2 linked regions of the Canis lupus familiaris genome follow. The protein of the gene in region 2 purifies or fractionates together with the protein of the main gene of each other region. This does not show direct contact. Links are inferred from orthologs where the notes say so. Each region holds a gene or a part of one and is shown on either strand. Other genes may lie near its edges. The genes, in order: TRIM21 and IRF7.

Region 1 (7,279 bases), on a different chromosome or scaffold from region 2:
ACCTGGTCAAGTTATTCAGCTTTAGTCTCTAAGTTTCTCAACCTCTCTGCCCCTCTGTTTTCTCATCTATGAGACGAGGATAACAGCACCCATCTCACTGCATTGTTGTGACAGATCGAATAGACCGAGGCATGTCATATGTGCTATTTAAGAAAGAGCCGTTGTCATGAAAATAGAAAAAAAATCAGCAACATATCAACACATGATTTCTTGGCTACTGTTGCTTAGGACAAATTTCCTTTTAAGCTAAATTTCTTCCAATGAAGGTGTAAGGCAATGTCAAGAAAACAACATTCTGGGGCACCTGGGTGATTCAGTGGTTGAGTGTCTGCCTTTGGCTCAGGTTGTGATCTGGGGTCCTGGGATGGAGTCCCGCATGGGGCTCCCTGCGGGGAGCCTGCTTCTCCCTCTGCCTATCTCTCTACCTCTCTCTGTGTCTCATGAATAAATAAATAAAATCTTAAAAAAAAACCAAAAACATGCTAACAGGATTTGGGTAGTGCACAGAAGTGGCAGAAAGTGTGAAGATGATATATCAGTGACTAATGTCTGGGGAATCCTTGTTATTCAGTCTACTCCCTCCCCCTTGTTTCACAAATGGAGAAAGTAGGTCTAGGAAAAGGAACAAACTTGACCTAAAATTATGGAAAGGATTGGTGGCAGGGCTGGGGCTGGGCTACTGTCTTTTAATTTCTAGTGCTGTATTTTCAGTTACATGTATGAGAACGTTCCCATGGCCAAAGGCTCACGTAGAAGGTTTTGTGGTTTCTCTCATTTAATCCTCACAAAAATCCTTTGAGAGATGTACTAATATCCATTTAACATATAAGAAATTTGACTCCGAAAGGTTAGGAACTTTCTCAAGGTTGTGGGCCTAGTATGTGTTAGAGCAGGTTCTTGCTGGGGATGCCGTTCTTTTCAATTGCTGCAAGGAATATTTCCTCCTAAATCTGCACCATTCTGTGGCTTGAATGTAAACTACTCATGGGTCTGAATTCCAGGGACAGGGTTTCTACTTGCTGTTGGCAGCATCAGGGAGCTCTAGCCATTTTTCAGTTCCTCCAGGAGCCTCAGAGAAGAGGGTGGCTCACCTGCAGCAGCTCTAGGGGTGAGCCCTTGCTCCTCCTCTCCAGCTCCACAACCAGCTCCTGCAGGGCTTGGGTCTTCTGGGCCAGCATGGCCTCTGTCTCCCCTAGGATTCTCAGCTGCTCCCTCTCCTCCATGTCTAGCCTCTGCATTTGCCTCTGTTCCTCCGCAGCCAGGAAGTTTATCTGCTGTACAAATTCTGCGTGAATCCTCCGTTTGTGTCTCTCAACCTGACTCTTTGGTGTCCATGGAAAGAGAGGATGATTTTGTCAAAATCCCCTAAGCCTGGGGAACAGAGGTGGTCATTTCCATTTCTATTCCCCATAGACTCACCACTCTGGGTCTGAGAGCAAACATACACTATTTTGCTAGAGCAGGAAGTGGGTGAGGCTTCTGGGCTAAGAGTGAAATGGGATTATGGTGGGGCACACTGGGGCTGTCCTACAACCACAGCTGCATTGACCTATGTTATCGACTTTCTACAGCCTCTTTCAAAACCCAGTCTGCACCTCGATGTGCCCAAATCTGTCTTCATATCTTAGTGAGTTCCTGAGAGAGTAACACCTGTCCCCACCCCAACAACCATCCAAACACAGGCTCATAACACTGTTCCCCAGGCCTGAGGAAAAGGAGTTTTGGGGATAATCTTGGCTGCTCTTCTGTTAGTGACTGGAAGGTCACCGATGGCACAGGATGAGTCCTTTTGCCACCACAGCCTGACTCACCCTTCTCTGATCCCAAATCTTCCTTTCTGGGCTCTATTGGCCATGAGTTCCCTCCATGCCCTTATAGATACAGAACAAGCTTTATTCTCCATCCTACTTTGGACCAGTGATCTGAACACAGTCAGAAAAACCAGCATGACCAGATAGTTGCCTATGTCTGACCTGGATTGTTCCCTTAAGTCTGTACCTCCTGACAGGCCTAGCCATTGGGCATCTCTCCTGAGAGACCACTGACCAGACATGGAGGCAAAGGTGCCGTCATGTTTTAAGACTAGGCTTAAGGAGCAGGAGCTTTAGGGTATGGCTTGTACCTCTCCGAAGGGTATGGCACCTTCTCCTAAGACTCTTGATTTTGCTATCTGATCTGAGCTCTCTCCTTTTTATTCACCTCTATCAAGAGACCTAGAGGACAGCTGGTTCATGGTGAGTGAGATATATTATCACTCCTCAGATGGGCATAGCTATGCTTAGGGTTTGAGTCTGGGGCCCTGGACTCTGCCCTGGCTTCTGACCTGAGATTCCCTTTGGAGCACAACACTTGCCTTCCAGGCTGCTCTCTTCATTGCAGTATTCACTTCCAACTCCTCAGCCAACTTTTGTTCTTTTCTCAGTTTCCTTAATGCCACCTTAAGCTTCTCCTGCAGAGAAAGGTAGGTTAGCGCCCGACCAGTCCAAGAAGTAGGGTGAGGCGCCATGAAGACATGCTGGTTCTTTGAAAAACTTGAGTGCAGAGAAAGAGGGAAGACTACAGTCTGATTGGGATAGAGATTCTGGGGATGGGAAGACTTTGGCAAGAGCCTGAGGTTTCTTTCAAAACACAGCCACGCTGTTGGAGGTGGTGGTGTGGAGTTGGAGCATTCCTCATTCCTAATTAACCAGAAGGCCACAAGGAAGTGTGATCCTTGCAGCGTTTTCCCAAGCGTACTCCCTGGTCCTGGGGAATGAGAAAGCTGTCCTGAGCTTGCAGTTCTCTGCTTCAATTAGACCTGGAAGGTGGGAAACCCCTTCCTTTTCCCAACCCTGAAACTCCACAGGTGACTTTGCCTCCCTCACTCTGGAGAACAAAACCCCAAGCACGGACCCAGCTCCCTTCTACTTGGTCAGGCCTCTGTGCTAAGTCCTTACCTGGTATTCCTGAGCAGCCTCCTCGACAGGGACCGTTTTGTGGTTACGGTGGTTCTGGGACTGGGAACATACCCAGCAGAGGATCTTCCCATCTTCCTCACAGAACAGGTGCAGTCTCTCTCCATGTACCTGACACCATTCCCTCTGTGTGACTTCATTGGCATTCTGGCCAATTTGTTTAAGGTTGTCCACCACGTTAGCCAGTGGCCAATTGGGCCGGAGGTTTCGGAGCAAGAAGGTGTGCTGACACACAGGACAGACGCCGCCACCATCTTTCCCCACCTCAGAGATGCATTTGTGGCAGAAGCTGTGGCCACAGTCAATGCTCATAGGCTCCACTACAGGATCCAGGCAGATAGGGCATGTGACCTCCTCCCACATCATTGCCAAGGGCATTGCTGCAGCCATAGGGGTGATGTTCTTAGTAAGCAGCACTGTGGAGATCCTGGGGTACCCTGGTGGGGAGAGGAGAGAGGGAAATGAGCAGAAGAGAAGGGTTGTGTGAGAAGAAAAACAATCCAAAGGAAAACACAAGGAACAGTGAAGTGGAAGGGGTGAAAACAACACCAGAACATTAACTTGAATAATAAGAGCTTCTCCTCTCTAGTCTCATCCACTTACCTAGTCAGACAGAAGGGGAAACTGAGTCCCCCAAAGAAACTGAATGTTGTTGAGAACTTCAGAGATAAAGCTGTTTATAACTCTATTTTCATCATGGCCCTCTCTGCTTCATCCTCTGTCCCAGGCTTTTCCTGTCCACTCTCTGCCCTCTCAGGTCACCAGTCCGCTGCTGAGCAGCTCATCTGTATGACAGGGACCATGTACTCTGTACACTCCATAAGCCAGAGAAGGTGCTACCTGCTTTGGAAATATCTTCATTATCTGCACAATAATCACAGGAGTTACTTCTATATCTGTGATTATATACATAAGAATATATTTCTACATATCTGTCTGTATGTATATATACCTGCAGGTATATGTGTGCATATGGGTACCTGTATATGTTTATATGCGCACATGAACAGTGCCTGAGCACTCCCTGGGCTCTCCTCTCCCTTCTGGGAACCTGGTAGCTGGCTTCATTGCCTCTGGGGCACAGACCCACAGGTTTCTAGCGTCTGAAACTGTCCTGCCCCCTCTCACCCCCAGAGGAGAAGTGTCGAGGGGAGTGCCCGGACTACACTCCGGGCTGGGCTAGGTTTCTGCCCCGGTGCCCCCCGCTTAGGGCAGCGCCCCCGGGGGCTTGGGTGTCACGTTCACATTTGGGGCCCCGTCCCAGGCAGGCTGCCAGCCCGGGAGGAACTGCTGGGGCTGGGGCTGGGACTGGGGCTGGGACTGGGGCTGGGGCTGGGCTAGCCCTGGGGGAACCGGGTCTGCAGGCCCCAGGGGCGAGGACTAGATGGGGCAGGGGAGAGAGGTCCCCCAGCCAGGGCGGGGGCACTCGGGTCGGGGCGAGTCACTCACCTTTTCAGGGCTTTCGGCAGCCGGCGGCAGGCTCCCTATTTCACTTTCGATTTCCCGTCGAGGCGTGTCCGAAGGGGGTGGGCCGAGGGGCGGGGAGTGGGAGGAGAGGGAGGCGCGAGGGGCGGGGGAGCAGGCGGGGCAGCTCGGGAGCCCCAGGCGGCAGGAAGTCCGAGCTCCGCAGCGTCAAGTCCTTGCTTCGCGTCCCCTCCCAGGTCCTCGGGGTCAAACAAGAAAATATCGCATCCACGGTGGAGGGGTCACGCTGCCTCCTCGGACACTGGTCGTCTCGCTCCACACCTACGTGCTGGGCGACGCCCACGAGTGGGAGCTGCTCTCAGGGAGTTAGGGAGGGTGGGATGGCGACAACGTGCCTGGGGCTCTCCCTTACGTGTCACCCTCTGCTTCCAGAAACAAGTCCTTTTCAGGAAAGGCTTGATAGTCTTTTAACATCAGCTGGTGAGGGATTTATGTACAGCACGATCCCAAGGCAGGTGTCATACCAGTGAATGGTAAGAAGAGAATTGACATTTATTAGGCACCAACGGTGTACTTGTCACTGAGCTAGGGATTTTCTGAGGTTTTCTTTTTTTTTTTTTTTAAATTATGGTAAAACATATGTAACAAAATTTACCATTGTAACAATTTTTAAGTATATAGTTCAGTGGCATTAAATGCATTCACATCATTGTATCCCCATCCGCACCACTCATACGACTTGTTTCATCTTGCCAAACTGAAATTCTGTTGCCTGTTAAACAGTATGTTCCCTCAGCACCCAGCAGCTACATTCAATTTTCTGTCTCTACGAATTTGACTTCTTTAGGTGCCCCCAACGTAAGTGGAATCATATAGTATTTGTTGTTTTGTGACTTATTTCACTTAAAAGGTCCTCAAGGTTCATCCATGTTGTACAAGCATGTGACAGGGTTTCCTTCCTTTTAAAGGCTGGATAATGTTCCAGTGTTTGTATATGCATTTTGTTTATCCACTCATCTGTGAATGGACACTTGGGTGACTTCCATCTTTTGACTCTTGTGAATACTGTTACTGTGTCAGGTTACATATTTAAGCCACATAACGATTTAGTGATTTAGGAGATGTTAAACTCACATTCCAGGAGAGGGCATTGAGTCTGAATGGAGTAAAATGACTTGAGACATAGTAAGAGGTGCATGAGAGTTAAAGGTCTAGGGAAGACCGTCATTTTAGTGACAGCCCAGAGATAACAGGCTGCCCTGTCAACTCAAGCAGAGACTGTGAGGAGGAAGGAGAAACAAGGAAGGGTGAGGAGACTAGAATTCTCAATTCCTTCCGACTCAGACATATTTATTTTTGTCCCTGTATACCTTAAGATAAAAACATCAGTTGAACTTTGCTTAATGTTTTCTATAGATTTAGGAAACCTAAAGATACTTCATCTTTCTTTCAAATTTCCAGTTCTGTTTTTAAGAGAATTTGTAAGTGGGTGGTTATCAAGTGACCTCTAATATTCAAATTGTATCACTGTACTGATTTGATTCCAGGAACATAGTCCCAGAAAGCAAAGTGGAAACAGTACAAAAAAAAATCAAAGGAAGAAGAGACCTATATATGAATTTGCAGACACTCAGAAAATGAGTCTGCTTCACATCACTACCCTCGCTCATTCCTATAGGCACTGAGTAAGCCAGCTGGTGGGTGTGGTAGAAAAGAACATAGACCTCATGATAGGGCAGACATGGATTCAGGGCTAACCCTGCTATTTACCAGTCACATGCCATCTCTCTGAGCTTCAGTTTACTTATCTATTAAAGATATTAATACACACACCACAGGGTTGCTTTGGTACGTGTTTAATAATATACATACAAAATCGATTAATATAACACATGCATGCTCAACAGTTCCCACCTTGGTATTGGCCATGAAACCAAAGGTACCACTCATTCTAAATTCCCTTCATTCACTGCCAGTAGCTTAGTACTTCAGTGTTCTTTTCCTGATGAGTCATCCAAATCATTCTTGAAGGATCAGTATCAATGTCCCTGTCTTTAATTCACTAGCCATTGTCATCAGGCAGTCATTACTAGGAATATCTCCAATGTATATTTTGGGTTTTAGGCATAGTTGTTATTGCCCCATTATGTACCAGCCACTTAAATTCTCCTTGGTAATAGGAATAGGTCACTCCAGTCAGTATAGAAACCCCATCCTCTGCCTATTTCATCAGTGGCTGCAGAAGCCCCACGGAGCCGGGGGATAGTTGTAAATTCCAATTTATTAGAACCAGGTTTGCTACCTACTCTGGTAGAAGGTCTTCTCCCAGACCTTAGGGCTGAGCCATATGTTAAGGGTTGGAAAGAAAGTGTTCTCTAAAGGAGTTCCTAGTCTGATGGTGATAGGGGCCACTTCTACCTCCCTGCCTTAGATTCTCTGAAGTGTGTGTATATATAGTGGATATGAAAAAAAAAGCCACCATATATTAGTTCATTTTAATCTCTTACCAGAATTTGTGGGATAACCTTCCTATCTCATAGGATGGGGTTTCCAAACTGGTATCATACCTGTGTCTTCAGCAGGGCATTTCATAGTCTTATTGGGCTTTTTCTGGCTGATGGTATACAGTATGAGACCTATGCATTCCATAGGACAATCGCATTATCAGAATTCTTTGATTGTAAAATCAGTTCCTCGGTTACAGGTGATGTTGTTGGGATGTCCTGATGTTGTAAGTCTAGAAATGGTGGTGCTGGCAGAAGCAGTGTAGGAAAGTGAACCTGTCTTTGGAATATTACCAGATGTTTTGTGAGGACAAACTGCTGTTGGTTCAAGACAACTAATGTGCCACTAGAAGACTGTCTAGATTCTCCTAGAAATAGTGAAAAATCAGGCTCAGA
Region 2 (7,307 bases):
CAGCACGGCCTCCCCGACGGCCCCTGGGAGCAGCCAGCTCCTCGGTCGGGGGGTGAGTAGTGCCCTTCCCCGGAGCCTCAGCTGTCACGTCAGGGGGTGCAGAGCCTGGGGTGGGTGGTGGGGGTGCCGGGTGCCCGCAGTAGCCGGTGGCCTTGCCAGCAGGACCGGCCCAGAGCCAAGCTGAGGACCGGCGCTTCTCTGCGGTGGACATGGCGGCCCTGGGCGGGGTGCTGGGCGCGCTGCTGCTCCTGGCTCTGATCGCCCTCGTTATCCTGGGCCACAAGCAGTTCGGCAGGCGGCTCAAGTGCTGCTCCGGAAAAGCCCTGGTGAGGCCTGAGCGGGCGGGGGCAGCACCGAGGGCCCACGGGGGAGGGCAGGAGGGGGGGCCGGGCGGTCGTCCCAGCCCACGGAGTGTGGAGGCGGACACGGCAAGGAAAGGAAAGACCAGCCCGCGGCCCTGTCCCCCAGGACGGCTCCGGGGACAGTCCCAGCCCCAGCCGGGCCGGGGCCTGGGTGATGCCCTGATCGTCCCGTCTCCCCGCCAGGACCACCAGGCGCTCGCCTTCGACAACCAGGCCTTCTCGGACCCCCAAGAGGCCAACTGGGCGCCGGCTCCGCGCGCCTCCCCCGGCCCCACGCGGGCGGGGCCCCCCGAGCCCCCCGAGCCCACGCCCCAAGAGGCCTCTGGCTCCGCAGCCGCGGGCCCTGCCCCCGGCGCCCCCGAGGCGGCCCGGGATGGAGGCAGCCCCGCCGCCGTGAGGTCCATCCTGACCAAGGAGCGGCGGCCCGACGAGGGCGGCTACAAGGCCGTGTGGTTCGGGGAGGACATCGGGGCCGAGGCCGACGTGGTGGTCCTCAACGCGCCCGCCCCCGACGCGGCCCGCGCCCCCGACTCGGGCAGCGAGCACAGCGGCGACGGGGACGACGAGGACGGGGAGCCCGGCGGGGGCTCCACCTACGTCTAGCCCGGCGCCCCCCGCCCCCCGCGCAAAATAAAGGCACGGTGTCCAAGCTCTGCTGCGCCAGGGTGCCCAGAGCCGCCGCCGGAGGGGAAGGCGTGGCCTATGCGTCCCCTCCCCCACCCCTCCCCCCCGCCCCCCGCAGCTCTGCGTCCCGCTTCCCGTAAACCACCTGCCGCCTCGGGGCTTCCCGGGCTGGAGCCAGCTGGCGGCCCAAGTTCCTCTCCCGGTGTGACCGCGGCCGCACCCTGCGCGGCGGGGGCACCCCTTCTTTGCCTGGGGGCTGAGGGGCCCCCCTCGGGAACACTACTCTGGAGGGCGAGGTCCCGGGCCTGCGGGGCGCAGCGGCCGCAGCGGGGACAGAACCCCTCTGGGGGCCTCCTCAGGGGGGGACCTCCCTGACCCTCGTGGGCCCTCCGCGCTTTTCCTGATGAAAAGGCATCCCCAATGCCGTTCCAAATGTCTTATTCTAGGGATCCCTGGGTGGCGCTGCGGTTTGGCGCCTGCCTTTGGCCCAGGGCACGATCCTGGAGACCCGGGATCGAATCCCACGTCGGGCTCCCGGTGCATGGAGCCTGCTTCTCTCTCTGCCTGTGTGTCTGCCTCTCTCTCTCTCTGTCTGTGACTTAAATAAATAAATAATAAATAAAATATTAAAAAAAACAAAAAAAAAAACAAAAAAAAAACAAATGTCTTATTCTTAGGGACATGTGAATGTTCTTGTCTGGATAATTCTCATTAAGAATCCAAAAGCTGGGCAGCCCCCGTGGCGCAGCGGTTTAGCGCCGCCTGCAGCCCAGGGCGTGACCATGGAGACCCGGGATCGAGTCCCACATCGGGCTCCCCGCATGGAGCCTGCTTCTCCCTCTGCCTGTGTCTCTGCCTCTCTTTGTGTCTCTATGAATAAATAAATAAAATCTTAAAAAATCGAAAAGCCACCGAGTGGGGGGGGCGCCTGGCTGGTTCTTCGGTTCCCTGGGGACAGTGGATTTCTGCTCAGGTCGTGATGTCAGGGTCCCAGGATCCAGCCGGGGTGGGGGTGGGGTCCGCACTCAGCGGGAAGTCTTCTAGGGGACCCTCTCCCTCTGCCTGCCCCCGCCCCCCAGTCTGCAGCTGTCTTTCAAATAAATGTCTTAAAAAAATAATCAAAAAAAACCCCAAGAGGCGGCCTAGATGGCCGAGTTGGTTGAGCATCCCACTCTGATCTCAGCTGTTTTTTTCTTTTTTTTTTTTTTTTTTAATTCATCAGAGACCCAGAAAGACGCAGAGACATGGGCAGGAGGAGAAGCAGGCTCCCCGCGGGGAGCCCGATGCGGGACTCGATTCCGGGCCCCGGGGTCACGCCCGGAGTCCGGGGCACTCCCGTCTGTGGACCGGCCAGTGGGCTCCACTCTGGGCCCCCTCTACTTAACACTAAAAGAGAACCTGAACTATAGGGCTGCCACTTGCCCCACGCCCTCCTTCAACACCCACTTTCCTGGGAAAAAGGAAGAGCCTGGTTCTGTGTGGGGTCTTCAGCTGAGGCCCGGGTTGGTTGCCAGGGGCCCCCTGCCCCGTCCCGCCTCTGTGGGGGCGGGGTGCTCCTTGAGGCCCTCCCGCCGCCCCTGCACCGCCCGGCCCGGCCCGCACTCCGCAGCCTGCGCTGCCGTCAACACACGTGGGAACCTTCCGCCGCAGCGCTAGTCGGCTGCACCTGCGGCCGCGGCCGGCCCCCGGCTCGCCCCCGCCCCACCCCCGGCCCGCCCCCCGCCGGCCTCATAAAGGCGCGGGTCCCCAGCCCCACGGCGAGACGCACCTCCCCGCCCGGAGCCCCGCCGCGCAGGTGCTCGGAGGCCCGGCGCGTGCAGCGCGGGAGCAGCCCGGGCGGCGACGGGCCCGCGGAGCCGGGGCGGGCCCGAGGACAGGGGTCGCAGCGCCGGGGCCCCGGGGCGCGAGCGCGGAGGCCTCCCCGCGGCTTAGGTTTCGCTTTCCCGGGCGCGCGCGGTTTCGCTTTCCCGCCCCCGGGCACGCCCGCGCAGGCGTCGGTGCCGCTGTGGTCCCCGCGGGCCCCGCCAGCGCCCTCCCGCCCGGGCCGCGCCGCCCGCACCTGTGCTCACAGCAGCGCCGCCGCGGCCGGAACCGCACACCCGCAGCAGCCCGCCGCCCGCCGCCCGCCGCCCGGGCCATGGCCGTGCCCGCGGACAGGTGAGCGCCCGCCCGCCGCCGGGGTGCGTGGCCACCGGCCTCGCCCGCACCCTGACTGCCGGCCGCCGCCCGCAGGGGGGCCCCGCGCCCGCTCTTCGCAGACTGGCTCCTGGGGGAGGTGAGCAGCGGCCGCTACGAGGGCCTGCGGTGGCTGGACGCCGGCCGCACCCGCTTCCGCGTGCCCTGGAAGCACTTCGCGCGCAAGGACCTGGGGGAGGCCGACGCCCTCATCTTCAAGGTGGGCCGCGGCCCGGCGGGCAGGGGGGCTGCGGCCGGGCGGGCCCCAGGCTCACACCTTCCACCCCTCCCCAGGCCTGGGCGGTGGCCCGAGGCAGGTGGCCGCCCGGCGGCGGCCGTGACCAGCTGGCCTGCGAGGCCGCACTCCGCGCCGGCTGGAAAACCAACTTCCGCTGTGCCCTGCGCAGCACCCAGCGCTTTGTGATGCTCCAAGACAACTCCGGGGACCCCACTGACCCACATAAAGTGTACGCACTGAGCTCCGAGCCGGGGTGCAGAGGTGAGGAACCCCACGGCAGGGCCGCCGTAGGGGAGCCGGGCGCACAGGCCCGACACGGTGCGGCGAGGGCGCTGGGACCTCGCCCTGTACCGGAGCACATCCCTGGGGCAGGCTCGGGGTTTTGAGACAGACCTGAGAGAGGCAGGTGCCAGGTGGTTGGGGACGGGGGGGGGGGGGGGGGGGGGGGGGGGGGGGGGGGGGAGCTGACTGGGCCTGCTGGGGTGGATTAGTGGTGGAGCCACCCTGCTCTGAGGGCCTACCCAAGGACACATCATGTCCACTGCAGTCTCACCCCATTCTCCCTCAGGAGCTGCGGCGATTAACCATGGGGAGAAGGCGGGTGAAGACACCCCACCACTGATGGTAAGCCGGTTCTGCCCCCGGTGCTCGTGTTCCCAGGTGGGGGCTGCCCTCCTTCCTGGGCTGGGGAGCTGCTTATGCTGGCCCTGTCTTCCCTGCAGGGTGGGCTCCCTAGGCCATGCCTGGGAGGAGATGCTGGCCAGAGGCTGGGGCACAGTCTGAGCCCTGAGCCCTGTGCCCCATGCGCCCCTTTGGGCCAAGCTGGCAATGCCGAGGATCTCTTGCTCCAGGCCCTACAGCAGAGCTGCCTGGAGGACCATTTGCTGGAAGCTGCATGGGGAGTGGATGCAATCACTCCAGGCACTCCTGGTGAGGCCGGCCAGATGGGGATGCTCTGCCTTGCAGGGCTCTGTGGGGGGGGGGGGGGGGGGGGGGGGGGGGGGGAGGAGCAGGGAGGACAGCACGGTCCTCGTGGAGAGGGAGGAGGATGTGCAGTAGAGGTGGTGCGAGCCACAGCTGTGCCCATTGTCGTGCTGCTCAGGCCCAGAGCTCCCTGACATGGAGCCATACCAGCCACGGGCAGCAGAGATGGCCCCAAGCCCTGAGCCCCAGGTCCTGCACCAGGCCCGGATGACAGGTGAGAGGAGCCCATGGGAGTGTGAAGGACGGAGGGCTTGGGGGGCCAGGTGCCAGTCAAGCCCTCCTTTCCTTCCAGATACAGGCCCAGCCTCGGAGCCGTGGCAGCCCCCCCAAGAGGTGGAGCCTTGCGCCCCAGTGGCAGGGGAGCAGGTCCTGGCCAGGCCCGGCTGCTCACAGCCAGGACTGCAGGCAGAGCTCAGGGCCCTGGATGTGACCATCATGTACAAGGGCCGCACGGTGCTGCAAGAGGTGGTGTGGCATCCAAGCTTTGTGCTCCTGTACGGGCCCCCCAGCCTGGCCACCAGGGCCACTGAGCCCCACTGCGTGGCCTTCCCAAGCCCGGCCAAGCTCGCGGACCAGAAGCAGCTTCACTACACAGAGAAGCTGCTGCAGCACGTGGCCCCTGGCCTGCAGCTGGAGTTACGGGGGCCGGGGCTATGGGCCCGGCGCCTGGGCAAATGCAAGGTCTACTGGGAGGTGGGAGGGCCCCTGGGCTCGGCCAGCCCCTCCACAGCCCCCCGCCTGCTGCAGAGGAACCAGGACACCCCCATCTTCGACTTCAGCACGTTCTTCCGAGGTCAGTGACGTGCCTATCCGGGGGCCGATGCTGCCCCACCCCCTCCCGTCCCACCGGGCCCTGCTCACCAGGTCCTGTCCTGCAGAGATGGCCGAGTTCCGGGCTCGCCGGCGTCGGGGCTCCCCATACTACACCATCTACCTGGGCTTTGGGCAGGACCTGTCGGCTGGAAGGCCCAAGGAGAAGAGCCTGGTCCTGGTGAAGGTGAGGCATGGGGTCCTGTGGGAAGGCTGTGCGCAGTGCCCAGCCAGCCTGCCGACAACCTCCCCCCCACTCCCCCCCCCCAGCTGGAGCCACGGCTGTGCCGGGCGCACCTGGAGTACGTGCAGCGAGAAGGGGTGTCCTCCCTGGACAGCAGCAGCCTCGGCCTCTGCCTGTCCAGCTCCAACAGCCTCTACGAGGACCTGGAACACTTCCTCATGGAGGTAGAGCCACCTGCCTGAGCGCCGGGCCGCTCTCCCAGCCAATAAAAAGGACTTGAACCGATGCGTGGTGTCCTGACCAGGGGTGGGCGCTCAGAGGGCAGCACAGACTGAGGCTCACCCTACTTCCCTGGGGCCCGGGGAGGGACGCCACCACACTTGCATGCACTCCCACTCAGGCCTCCCGTGCAACCCGCTCTCCTCTGTCTTCACCATGAAGAAACAGGCCACACGCTTTAGAGCCAACAAACTCTACTCAAAGAATACAAAACGCTCTGGGGACAGCAGGTGTTTGCTCCTGGCAGGTGTGCTGGGGGGTGGGCACCACAAGCGGCCGACCCAGCTGTGCGCAGGGCCCCGCCTTCCAATCCAAGCACTGCGCTGCCTGCTGGGAGGCAGCACACACGAGCGTTCTTTACAGCCACGACAGCGAAGCCGGGAGTGGCCTTCCCTTATTACACAGGGCAGGACATCGGGCACCTGTGAGGGGAGTCGGGGGCTCCTTCCACCCCCCAGGCCCCTCCCGATCGCCAGAGGCTTCACCTTTCAAGTACTGAGTCAATCAACAAGTTTCTAAAGATAATCCATTTTTGATAAATTAGAACACAATGGAAACAGTGTGTATCTATAATATACATATAAAAAAGTCCAGTTTTAAACTGTGAGCAGGCCCAGTGCACAGAGCACGTGTGATCACAGAACCCTGAATGCAGGAGTGCTGGCTGGGTGTCTTCAGAGTTTTCTGCTTCTGCCACTCCCAACAGAATTGCTTGGGGACGGGGGCCATCGCCCCCCGCTCTCCCTGCCCTCAGCTCTCAGGGCCCTGGGCGGGCGCCTCCTCGCCAGCCTCGGCCCTGCGGTGCCTGCGCATGTGTCTGTATTTGTCCACATAGGCCTTGACCAGGTTGCCCACCTTCACGGGGTTGATCTCCCCGCTCTTGCTGTGGCATATCTGGGGGGAGAGGAGAGGCACAGATGACCCACACATCCCCACAGGGACCACAGGGCACAGAGCCCGACATCCCCCGCTGTGCCTGCCTCGCACAGCGGCTGAGGGTTCGTCTCCCAGCTGGAGACTGTGGCCCACGAGCCATGGATTTGGCCCTGACGCCCTGGGCCTGAGAACCGTCGGTGTCTCGGGCTCCTGCTTTCCCACCTGCAAGCATGGTGCGTTACGTACCTTCTGTTACTTCGCCCACAGAACAAGCAACAAAGCGCGGTCCCGTCCCCTCCCAAACTCCAGTGCTTACCTTTCCCGAGCACCTATGAGCTACTGGGACAGGAAGACAGAAGTGGCCTCTGGCTGCAGCCAGGACGTGACCATGATGCCCCGGCCCCCGCCCTGCCCACCCACACCCACCTTCTGTACCGCCTTGCGGAGGATGTCCTTGTACTCGTCCTTCGTCACCTCCCTCTTCTGGTAGAAGGGCTTGATGGCCAGCTTCACTTCCTCCACTGCCCGCTCCTGCATGTGCAGCTTCTTCATGTACTGAGAGCAAGGACACACGTGTGTGACCGCCCCGCCTGCACACAGGGCTGCACACGGCCTGGCCCCGAGCGGGGAGGGCCTGGACTCACCTCCTCATTCTTGGCCTTCTCTGCGGCAGGCCTGGGAGCGGCCGTCCTCTCCTCGGAGTTGCTGGCACCAGTGGAGTGGCCGGCTGGCTCCGAGGCCGTGGCCAGGGAGGTGGGCACGGGGGCCGGGCTCT

The links.
Region 1: the proteins of IRF7 (region 2) and TRIM21 purify together in Homo sapiens (affinity purification with mass spectrometry; 3 studies listed by BioGRID, with this or other methods). This does not show direct contact. The link is inferred for Canis lupus familiaris from reciprocal best matches to the Homo sapiens genes IRF7 and TRIM21.

Annotation. Positions count from the first base shown.
Region 1 is NC_049242.1:26,905,236-26,912,514, forward strand, and holds the start of TRIM21 (E3 ubiquitin-protein ligase TRIM21), read right to left. Parts: upstream 4,523-7,279; 5' UTR 4,404-4,522; intron 3,392-4,403; 5' UTR 3,345-3,391; coding exon 2,937-3,344; intron 2,450-2,936; coding exon 2,324-2,449; intron 1,323-2,323; coding exon 1,092-1,322; intron 1-1,091. UniProt on the Homo sapiens protein: E3 ubiquitin-protein ligase whose activity is dependent on E2 enzymes, UBE2D1, UBE2D2, UBE2E1 and UBE2E2.
Region 2 is NC_049239.1:26,057,186-26,064,492, reverse strand, and holds IRF7 (interferon regulatory factor 7), read left to right. Parts: upstream 1-3,102; 5' UTR 3,103-3,123; coding exon 3,124-3,143; intron 3,144-3,218; coding exon 3,219-3,381; intron 3,382-3,455; coding exon 3,456-3,660; intron 3,661-3,967; coding exon 3,968-4,023; intron 4,024-4,121; coding exon 4,122-4,329; intron 4,330-4,501; coding exon 4,502-4,597; intron 4,598-4,675; coding exon 4,676-5,176; intron 5,177-5,261; coding exon 5,262-5,380; intron 5,381-5,463; coding exon 5,464-5,619; 3' UTR 5,620-5,662; downstream 5,663-7,307. Other genes in the region: CDHR5 (cadherin-related family member 5), read left to right, coding at 160-326, 546-965; PHRF1 (PHD and RING finger domain-containing protein 1), read right to left, coding at 6,407-6,550, 6,959-7,087, 7,177-7,307.